Arabidopsis thaliana: one gene and its partner. The protein of the gene in region 1 interacts with the protein of each later gene in a pairwise test. Each region holds a gene or a part of one and is shown on either strand. Other genes may lie near its edges. The genes, in order: SNRK2.2 and ABF1.

Region 1 (5,344 bases):
GATTTTGTTTTTCAAAAATATTAACTAACCTGAATATTTTTTGGTACTATATAAGTAAAATTGCGTGGTAGGAAATTTTGACCTAAATCTGTGTTGATCAATTTTAGGTTCTTTCTCAAAACGCATTTTACAAGTAGGGAATAGAATTTGAAGAAGCATTGTGTTTAGGTTAAAAACTGAATCTCTCTATTCATCTTCCTTTTTTATTTTCATATAAATACCGATTTGATTTCATTTTATATCCATTCTTTATCTCTATTAATATATAGGGTTTAGAAATCAGGTGATATTCGCTTGATTAGATTCATCTTCTTATTATGCATTGAGGTTTGTGTTTTCATCTTCACACCTTCTCTAACATATTTGAGTGCAGTACAACGCAATCCACGATTTTGATTGGCTATTCTGATTACTATATTATTTAGAAACCTTAATCTCTTTACTGTTTAGAATTCACATAAAAATTCGTAGGTTGTGATTTTTTTTTTTCAGTTCGTGTATAGACCTAGGCATACGATTTTCCCTTTTGTTTTTGTTTTTTTCATGTTTCGGATTTTCGTGTTTAAGAAAAAGATTCTGTAAATATGTTTGTTTGATTCAGTTTAAAAGGAAAAAATTACATCATGTATTTCGATATATCCTATATTTAAATGTATTTTGTATATATTCTAGAAATGATCAAAAATGTACAATTACATTTTCTTTCTTTCTTTCACAGATTATGATGTTTCATCAAATGGACAAAATATCGACACCATGCGCGGCATGCAAGCACCTGAGGAGAAAATGCACAGAAGATTGTGTGTTTGCGCCTTACTTCCCCTCGACTAAACTGGACAACTACGAAGCGGTTCACAAGGTATTTGGAGCAAGCCATGTGGCTACACTTATCAACAGTCTTCACCCATGCCAAAGAGAATTTGCCATGGACACGCTCGCTTGGGAGGCACAAGTTCAAGCCAATGATCCGGTCAATGGCTGTCTGGGTATCATTTACAACCTCCTTAGTCAGATTAAAGACTTGGAAGAACAACTCGCGATCGTCAAGAACGAACTTGCCTCTTACTGTATCGTCCCCACATTTGTGCCACCACCTTCGATGACGAATCTGGAAATGCATAACAATCCTATGATGATACCGGAACACACACCTAATAACGGTGGTTGTTTAACGGGTCAACAGTTGTATAACGAGGCTCAACGTTTTGCATCCACACAAAGCGCTCAAATGCAAGAGACGCAGATGCAGCACGATGAGGAGAGTTACCGTGACAAAAGTTCTTATCAAAAATTTGGACCATGCTTTAACCTACATTAATCATTATCATATTGAATCTTGATAACAATGGTAAGCTTTTAAAATCTTTTTAAGTCTTGTCTAGTCGTTTGTATAACTACATTAAGATATAAATACAATTATTGTTTTTAGTTAACAAAACATCCGTTATCGTCCAGCGGTTAGGATATCTGGCTTTCACCCAGGAGACCCGGGTTCGATTCCCGGTAACGGAGCTTTTTTTGGTTTTTAAGATTCGAAAAAGTACTTTTTGCCTCATCACTATCTTTACGTTAATAAACTCAGCGGCAGTTCAAGCCGTAAACCTTAACATTTCTAATCAGGATCCTTAGTCAATTTGATTATTTCTTTTACAAATACTCCAACATTCAACAAGGACCTTGTGTAGAACTACACTCTGCCATAACAAAATAATAAAGGTGCACTTGTAGTTATGTACAAACGACTAGACAAGAGTTATAAAATTAGAAAAAGGTTAATGTAACATTGCTGTGTACGTGAAAACGTCTTATATGATCTATAAGAAGCTTTTTTTTGTTCGTGACAAAAACAATTTCTGACTTGGCTCAAAATACGACCACAATCACCCACATAAAGTTGGGATATTTTGGAAGTAAACAAGTACAAGTGAAGGTAAAACAATACATATATACATGAGACATTCACATAATTAATTTAAGAAAGACATAACAATTTACTCACCTCACAATTCGTACTCATTCAATTACAAATTTTAGGAGCAACCAAATTGTGTTGATAATATAGAACAGTAAAATTAATATTGATACCTAAAAAAACCAAAAAAAAAAATATTTGAAAAAAAAAAAAAAAAAATCACCAAAACGCGGCGGCCTTTGTCGTATCAAATCAGATAACTAAAACAAAGAAAACGGTGTCGTTGCAAACATCTCTCTCCTCTTATCTAACTTAGAGAGCGACCAATAATTGCCTTTGTCTTTCTCATTCGTCGTTGATCCATCTTTTTCCCCCAAATTCATATCCTTCCTTAGATATTTTTCTCCTTCTTCTTCTTCTAGATTCCAGCTACTCCAGAAGATTCTTCGACTTAATCTGATGTGATTAGGAAGAGCAATAGAGGAAGAGAAGAATCAGAAAAAATGGATCCGGCGACTAATTCACCGATTATGCCGATTGATTTACCGATTATGCACGACAGTGATCGTTACGACTTCGTTAAAGATATTGGCTCTGGTAATTTCGGCGTTGCTCGTCTCATGACCGATAGAGTCACCAAGGAGCTTGTTGCTGTTAAATACATCGAGAGAGGAGAAAAGGTTTCGTCTTTTTTTTTTTGAATGAAAAAAAGATTTGATATTTATAGGCTTTAGTGATTGATTGATGATCGATTATTTTTAGTTTCCAGATTTAGTAGCTTTCCTTTTTAGAGCTTGTTGATCTAGTGTCTTTAATGGTGGTTACTTACTGTTACTATGATTAAATGCTTTTGAAAAGTTTTGATATTTCTCAATAAATGATGATACTTTTTTTTATGGTTGTTTTGCAGATTGATGAAAATGTTCAGAGGGAGATTATCAATCATAGATCATTGAGACATCCTAATATTGTTAGGTTTAAAGAGGTATAATATAATACACCTTGATGTTTCTTCTGTGTGTGTTTGTGTATTAAGTCAGTGTGGTTTAGAGTTTGTTTTGTGTGTGTTTTTGTAATGGTTTAGGTGATTTTGACGCCTTCCCATTTGGCTATTGTTATGGAATATGCTGCTGGTGGAGAACTTTATGAGCGGATTTGTAATGCCGGACGGTTTAGTGAAGATGAGGTTTGGATTCTGATTTATCGTACTGTGTTGTGGTATTGATGTGTGACTACTGATCTTTAAGTTTTTTTATGTATAGGCTCGGTTCTTCTTTCAGCAGCTTATATCTGGAGTTAGCTATTGTCATGCAATGGTACGCAGAGCAGTGTTCTTGCAACTTACTTGAACTTTTCTCGTTCTCGTGTATACCACTCTGGTTTTAATTCTGTGTTTGATTTTCCTGTGAAGCAAATATGCCATCGGGATCTGAAGCTGGAAAATACATTGTTAGATGGAAGTCCGGCACCTCGTTTGAAAATATGTGATTTTGGTTATTCCAAGGTACTATTTATTTCTCTCAAGGTTTGTTTTCTGAATTCTAAGTTTATATATGCTACTGTATGGCCAAGCGCAGAACAGCGGGGGACATCTTGTGATTCCTCGTTGTGCTTCTTATCGTTCATGCTCTTTACCTACATGTGTTTCCTACTAAGTGTCTGTTTTCGCTTTGATTTCTGCTCAAGTATTAACTATGCGTTTCTTTTCTTCAGTCTTCTGTTCTTCATTCCCAACCAAAGTCAACTGTTGGTACTCCTGCATACATTGCACCAGAGATTCTTCTTCGACAGGAATATGATGGCAAGGTAAGGCCATGAGACCAATTCCTCTGTCTAGAGTTCAAACCAGCTTATCCATATGACTGTTTATACCACAAATATTCTTTGAGTTGTCCTCTGAAATAGCTGGTGTTACATTTTTCCAGCTTGCAGATGTATGGTCTTGCGGTGTAACATTATATGTAATGTTGGTTGGAGCTTATCCATTCGAGGATCCACAGGAGCCACGAGATTATCGAAAGACAATACAAGTAATGTTTTTCAATTGTTCTTGCTGTCTCATTCATCATCATTCACAAACTCATTATCTTTCAAACGTTGATTGTATATGTTTGCTTCTCCACTGATTTTAAAACGCAGAGAATCCTTAGTGTCACATACTCGATCCCAGAGGACTTACACCTCTCACCAGAATGTCGCCATCTAATATCGAGGATCTTCGTGGCTGATCCGGCAACAGTAAGTTTTACATTTCAAAGAAAACTTTGTTCTTTGAGTTCTAAATAGACAAACTGAGAGATCCAATGTGGCAGAGAATCACTATTCCGGAGATCACATCCGATAAATGGTTCTTGAAGAATCTACCAGGTGATTTGATGGATGAGAACCGAATGGGAAGTCAGTTTCAAGAGCCTGAGCAGCCAATGCAGAGCCTTGACACGATTATGCAGATAATATCGGAGGCTACGATTCCGACTGTTCGTAATCGTTGCCTCGATGATTTCATGGCGGATAATCTTGATCTAGACGATGACATGGATGACTTTGATTCCGAATCTGAGATTGATGTTGACAGTAGTGGAGAGATAGTTTATGCTCTCTGAGATTCCTGAGGACAAAGTCTGTTTTGTCCGTACTGTTGAGACACACCACTGGAGTTTTGTCTTAGCTCCACGCACTCCATCGTTCATTTTTGGATCGTTTGTTGTTTTTTACTCTACAAGCTTTGGATTCACATACATATATATGTATTGTAATGTAATATGTAATATATTCTATGTATTTCTCTTTGTTTAATAACTATTGGCACATTTTATACAAATGATATGGTACTAGAAAAAGAAATGTAACTAACCCACAAGGTTCTGAGATGGAGCTTAGCTTGAGTCTTGGTTAAGAATGTTATGATCTATGTTTCACACGACACACGATTTCATGTATAGTGTTATTCGACATCGTGATGGAGGACATGGCTTATGATCATCAGCTTTGATCATGCCGCTAGACATTTGATTAAGATTTGCAATTAGTAAAACTTAAACTGTCTATATTGATGAAAAGATTTAGCATTTTATGATACCATAATGTAGATTTGTGTGTGGATGAAAAATTTGTATAAATATTTTCTACCCTAGATTATGTAAAAGACATGTTTTCTGTGGAGAATGCTTGGTAATGCAATGTCTATTGACTATTGGCAACGACTATTGGCATTACGATAATTCATCAAGGAATCATTACTACTTCTCTCCAATTCATGATCAACTTTTGACACATGACAAAAATCTTCTTCTGTAAAAAAAAAGCTAAAGAGAAGATATTTATGTTACAAAAACTATGTTAATATGATTCGAAAAGTTAAAATAAGGAGAACAAAGAAATGTAACTAATAGTTAAACTTTTAGAGGATTTTTCTGATTTAAAATTAGAACA
Region 2 (5,326 bases), on another chromosome or scaffold:
AAAATCTTGAGAAAAACGATGAGATTCGGGTTCAGATTTTTTCAAAAATAGTTTTATTCGTGAAAGATTTAAATTCGAGCGGAGATTGTTCCGCCCACTTTAAAAAATATTTTATTTTCTCTAAATAATTTTAAAATAAAATAATTATAATAAAAATGAAAATTTGAAATTTTTAGACACCATAAACTAATATGTTAATAAAATTATTTTATCCAAAATTAGAAAATTAATGTCATATAATCTAAAAAATTAATAGTTAATTGAGATGATAAGGGTAAAATTAAAATTTTATTTTTGTTGTCAGATCGTGAGTATGAAAATAACAATATTTAATTGTTTGAATATTTAAATTGCACAGTTTTATTATTTCATGTATTTTTCATGTATTTTTCTTCTTAGAAAAAACAATTGGGTATTAAACGTTTAAATAAAAATTAGTTAAGGTTTTTTTTTGGATTTTTACCCATTAGAAAACTCTTCCTTTTCATTTATTTTTACTTCTAGTAGTAGAGGTAATTTTTCTTTTTTGATTAACAAAGTCGTGAGGTTTGTTAGTAGAGACTAGAAAGTTGTTGAATGGGTAATTGATATGTTTTGCTCCACAAGAAAGCGGAAGTTTTTAAAAAAAAAGAAACAAAATTAGCATTACAATACCAATGATTACATATGTAAACAATATTTCCCGGAATTAGCTCGTATGAATCTAAATTAATATTGACAAAAAAAAAAATACCAATGATCACATATATGACAAAAAGAAAGAATGAAGGAGAACTCTATCATGGTTTGATGCTCATTCTATACGCTGGCCCAACGGTGACACGAAAGTAGACAATTCTTTTAAATAAGTTATCAAATTATAAAGAAGTAGAAATCATCAACATACCATTTACCAAGTGAGGAGAGGGCAAAATTTCCAAATTTGGAAGTGAATTGTATTAAACTCGACGCAAATCTTCTTAAAAGTCTTCTTCTTTTGGGTTGCTTGGATATAATGATTATTGCTTGATGTCAAAATTCGCACACCATTGGGATGATGGGACCCAAAAAGAATCACTACCCACTTCTGCCGTTGTTTCAACATCATTCATGTATAATAATCACAGTTTATCAAGCACACAAAATATCTTACATGAGTAACAACAATATGATATTAAAATTAATTTGGCACATAATTTAATCATTTGGTGTTCCGACCGACATGATACTATACTATAATTTTATTCCCATTTCATTTCTTATTTTTTTATATGCATAGAAAATTATTTAAATGCAAAATAAAATTTTAACCAAAAACCTCTAGTCTAGTAGTTTGTTCGATTGTATATAGAGTATTTTGTCATGTGCATAGATTACCACCATCTACGAACATTGTTGTGGTTTGATTTTCTCTTTGATCGCGGTAAACACCAACAATATATGACTAGACATTCATAAACTTCAGATGAGTTAGGATTTGATTTTTTAGAATTTTGGTTTTGAAAAAAAATTAGCCAACTAAAAATCAAACAAAAATTTACTGCGGTTCATAAGTAAAAAAAAAATCAATTTCCTTTTTAGTAATTTTCTTGGAGTCGAATTGAAGTAAAATTGTGCAGTTTACAACACAGAATTCGATATTTAAAAAATTTCTGTTGGCGAATTAAAATTGAAATACTATAATTATCCAAACTTTCTTCGGTTAGTTAATTAAGATCAGAAATAATGTCTAAATGGCAAGGTTAATATGGATATTTGTATCAGATCTAATCCCATTTTTAAAGAAAACAAACAAGGCAAAGGACACAATCAGCGACTAAAGCTCTCACACGTTACAGCTTCTTATTGGTTAAAAATGAACGTGGTTGTCAGCTAAATTAAGTGACTATGTTTAATAATCATTAAAACGGGATATTTATTAGTTTATTACCAAAAAATGAAAGCAAAATATCTAAACAATAAATAAAATAAAAAACCATAAGAGGAAAAAGCTTAACCCCTTAAAATGGCAGTTCGTGTCGAAGCTACTACAAACACACTTGTCGTCTCTTCTCTCTCTCGCAGCTCTTCTCTATTTTCAGCAATCGCCTATAATATTAGGTAAAGCTTCCTTCTTTTTGTTTATCCGTTTTCGTTTTCTTTTCTTCTCGAATCTGTCTTTGTCTTATCACATCCCCTGAAGTGTTATACTTTTTTTTTTTTTGGGTCCGATTCATAATATCTGTTTTGTCTTTTTTTTGGTTCTATGTTCTAAATCAAGTAGTAGTAGTAATGAAGTAACTATTCCTAAAGAAATTAAAGGATAAGACTTTTTTGTTTTTCTTCTTGAGGGTTTGTGTGATCTTGCTTTTACTCCAGAATCTTTTATAGATCTATCTTTTAGATACATTCAAGAATGGTCAAAGTTATGGATTTTGATCCAATCTTATATTTCTCTCTGAATCCAAGGATCCAATTTATACTCTCTGTATCACACACTTCTATGTATATGTTTGTGATTGATTGCTTCTGGCTAAAACTTTATAAAGTTTTGACATTTATATGAACGTTCCTGCCTTTTGCTTTTGGTCTTCTTTGCTTGCTCTTATGCAAGTATACTTAAAAGCACTATGTGACACATAGTTGTGTGGTGTGTTATACTCCTAAACCAGTTTCAATTTTCTGGTCTTGTTCTCTCTTAGGTAAAGCTAAAAGGGTCTGATTCGTTTGTTTTTTCACTGAAGAATTTGGAAGGAAGTGATTCCGTTGTGAAACAGAAAAGAAGTATGGGTACTCACATTGATATCAACAACTTAGGCGGCGATACTTCTAGAGGGAATGAGTCAAAGCCATTGGCGAGGCAGTCTTCGTTATATTCCTTAACGTTTGATGAGCTTCAGAGCACATTAGGTGAGCCGGGGAAAGATTTTGGGTCTATGAATATGGATGAGTTACTCAAGAACATATGGACTGCTGAGGATACTCAAGCCTTTATGACTACTACATCTTCGGTTGCAGCCCCGGGACCTAGTGGTTTTGTTCCGGGAGGAAATGGTTTACAGAGGCAAGGCTCCTTGACCTTGCCTAGAACGCTTAGTCAGAAGACTGTCGATGAAGTCTGGAAATACCTGAATTCGAAAGAAGGTAGTAATGGGAATACTGGAACGGATGCGCTTGAGAGGCAACAGACTTTAGGGGAAATGACTCTGGAAGATTTCTTACTCCGTGCTGGCGTTGTTAAAGAAGATAATACTCAGCAGAACGAAAACAGTAGTAGCGGGTTTTATGCTAACAACGGTGCTGCTGGTTTGGAGTTTGGATTTGGTCAGCCGAATCAAAACAGCATATCGTTCAACGGGAACAATAGTTCTATGATCATGAATCAAGCACCTGGTTTAGGCCTCAAAGTTGGTGGAACCATGCAGCAGCAGCAGCAGCCACATCAGCAGCAGTTGCAGCAGCCACATCAGAGACTGCCTCCAACTATCTTTCCAAAACAAGCGAATGTAACATTTGCGGCGCCTGTAAATATGGTCAACAGGGGTTTATTTGAGACTAGCGCAGATGGTCCAGCCAACAGTAATATGGGAGGAGCAGGGGGTACTGTTACAGCTACTTCTCCTGGGACGAGCAGTGCAGAAAACAATACTTGGTCATCACCAGTTCCTTACGTGTTTGGTCGGGGAAGAAGAAGCAATACGGGCCTGGAGAAGGTTGTTGAGAGAAGGCAAAAGAGAATGATCAAGAATCGGGAATCCGCTGCTAGATCAAGGGCTCGAAAACAGGTAAAGTTACCGTTTTGTTCTCAAAAACTTTGATATCAATATCATCTAACCAAACTGCCATTACCGTTTTCTTTTCAAGAACTTTGAAATCATTTTGATGTTTTGGCTAAACCTCAGGCTTATACCTTGGAACTGGAAGCTGAGATTGAAAGTCTCAAGCTAGTGAATCAAGATTTGCAGAAGAAACAGGTTTTTTTCTTCTACCATTTTTATTGCTTCTCCATAGAGAGTCTAGCTGGCTCAGTTATTTAACTGCGGTCTCTCTATGTTGCAGGCTGAAATAATGAAAACCCATAATAGTGAGGTAATAACGTTTTTCCTCTACTTATGTATATTTCATGTATACACCATCATTGTCTCTACATTACCAGACATTTTGTGTCTGTCTAAATGTAGCTCTATTGTCATTTTGATGACACACAGTTCACTGATACTAGTACTTGAATTTGCAGCTAAAGGAATTTTCGAAGCAGCCTCCATTGCTGGCCAAAAGACAATGCTTGAGAAGAACCCTTACCGGTCCGTGGTAAGAAGGTGAAGTCAAAGCAAGAAGAACCTGCTAATGTAATACAGGACCACTCAAAAGGAAGACACTGGGAGAGTAATATGTAATAGAAGATAGTGCTACTGTACAGGAGAAATTACAGAGACGCTTACAATGTAGAAATCTTTTGAGCTGAATTTAACTAAGAGTGCAGTCTGTGTAGAGTATGAGAGCTTTCAATATGAATTCATAATTTTCATAAACATATGTAAAACTTTCAGATTTAGCTATAGAGAAGATGTGACTAACTCAGAAAGAAAATCCGTTAATTGGAGAGTGAGGTAAACTCCGGCTGTAATGTGACCTGGAAGTAGTACTAGACGATGGACCAAAGATCCGGGAATCACCTCTTTGAATTCTCAAATTGCTTCTCTTCCTACTATCCCAGCCTATCTCTTCTTCAACCGCTTTAGCAAATGCGCTATGCACCGGATCACAGCTTTCACACAACAGCCTCAAGACTTGCTTAATTGATGGCCTAGACCGGCCTTCTTTCTCGGTACACAATCTCACAACCGTCACAACTGCATCAAGTTGTTTTCCTCCAGCATCATTAATAGAGTCTTTGATTCTCGGGTCTACCAACTCGAGGTGTTTTGATTTCGCCAACAAAAACCGCTGAGACATTTCCACAAGGTTCCTACCTTCATCAACTGCTCTTCTCCCGGTTATGAGCTCCAGCAACACAACTCCGTAGCTGTACACATCACTCTTCTCTGTCAACTCTTGCGTTACTACATATTCCGGATCTACATAACCTGAAAAAACTTCAAGTTTTTAAAACTCAGCTTCCATCAAAAGTAGTCAAGTTATTCTGTTCAGTATCTCTCCCAAACCTGGAGTTCCACGGATATCGGTATTCACAGGCTCAAAGCAAACAGAGCCATCTCTAGACGAATGTGCAAGGCCAAAATCTGAAAGCTGCACCAAGAAAACATTATTAGTTATCCAAATACCAAAGGGTTCTCTAACACAGAAGATGTGCAGTACTACATACCTTAGCGACGAAGTTCTCATCGAGTAATATATTGCTTGATTT

Evidence for each region.
Region 2: the proteins of SNRK2.2 (region 1) and ABF1 interact in a two-hybrid assay, tested with the Arabidopsis thaliana proteins (one study listed by BioGRID).

What each region holds. Positions count from the first base shown.
Region 1 is NC_003074.8:18,740,976-18,746,319, reverse strand, and holds SNRK2.2 (SNF1-related protein kinase 2.2), read left to right. Parts: upstream 1-2,162; 5' UTR 2,163-2,415; coding exon 2,416-2,592; intron 2,593-2,822; coding exon 2,823-2,897; intron 2,898-2,996; coding exon 2,997-3,098; intron 3,099-3,174; coding exon 3,175-3,228; intron 3,229-3,323; coding exon 3,324-3,437; intron 3,438-3,625; coding exon 3,626-3,718; intron 3,719-3,837; coding exon 3,838-3,942; intron 3,943-4,051; coding exon 4,052-4,150; intron 4,151-4,224; coding exon 4,225-4,515; 3' UTR 4,516-4,726; downstream 4,727-5,344. Other genes in the region: LBD28 (LOB domain-containing protein 28), read left to right, coding at 722-1,318. UniProt on the Arabidopsis thaliana protein: Together with SRK2I, key component and activator of the abscisic acid (ABA) signaling pathway that regulates numerous ABA responses, such as seed germination, Pro accumulation, root growth inhibition, dormancy and seedling growth, and, to a lesser extent, stomatal closure.
Region 2 is NC_003070.9:18,398,082-18,403,407, forward strand, and holds ABF1 (abscisic acid responsive element-binding factor 1), read left to right. Parts: upstream 1-1,924; 5' UTR 1,925-2,079; intron 2,080-2,105; exon of another isoform or gene 2,106-2,702; 5' UTR 2,703-2,744; coding exon 2,745-3,743; intron 3,744-3,860; coding exon 3,861-3,932; intron 3,933-4,017; coding exon 4,018-4,072; intron 4,073-4,195; coding exon 4,196-4,281; 3' UTR 4,282-4,536; downstream 4,537-5,326. Other genes in the region: AT1G49730 (Protein kinase superfamily protein), read right to left, coding at 4,537-5,045, 5,124-5,208, 5,285-5,326. UniProt on the Arabidopsis thaliana protein: Binds to the ABA-responsive element (ABRE). Could participate in abscisic acid-regulated gene expression.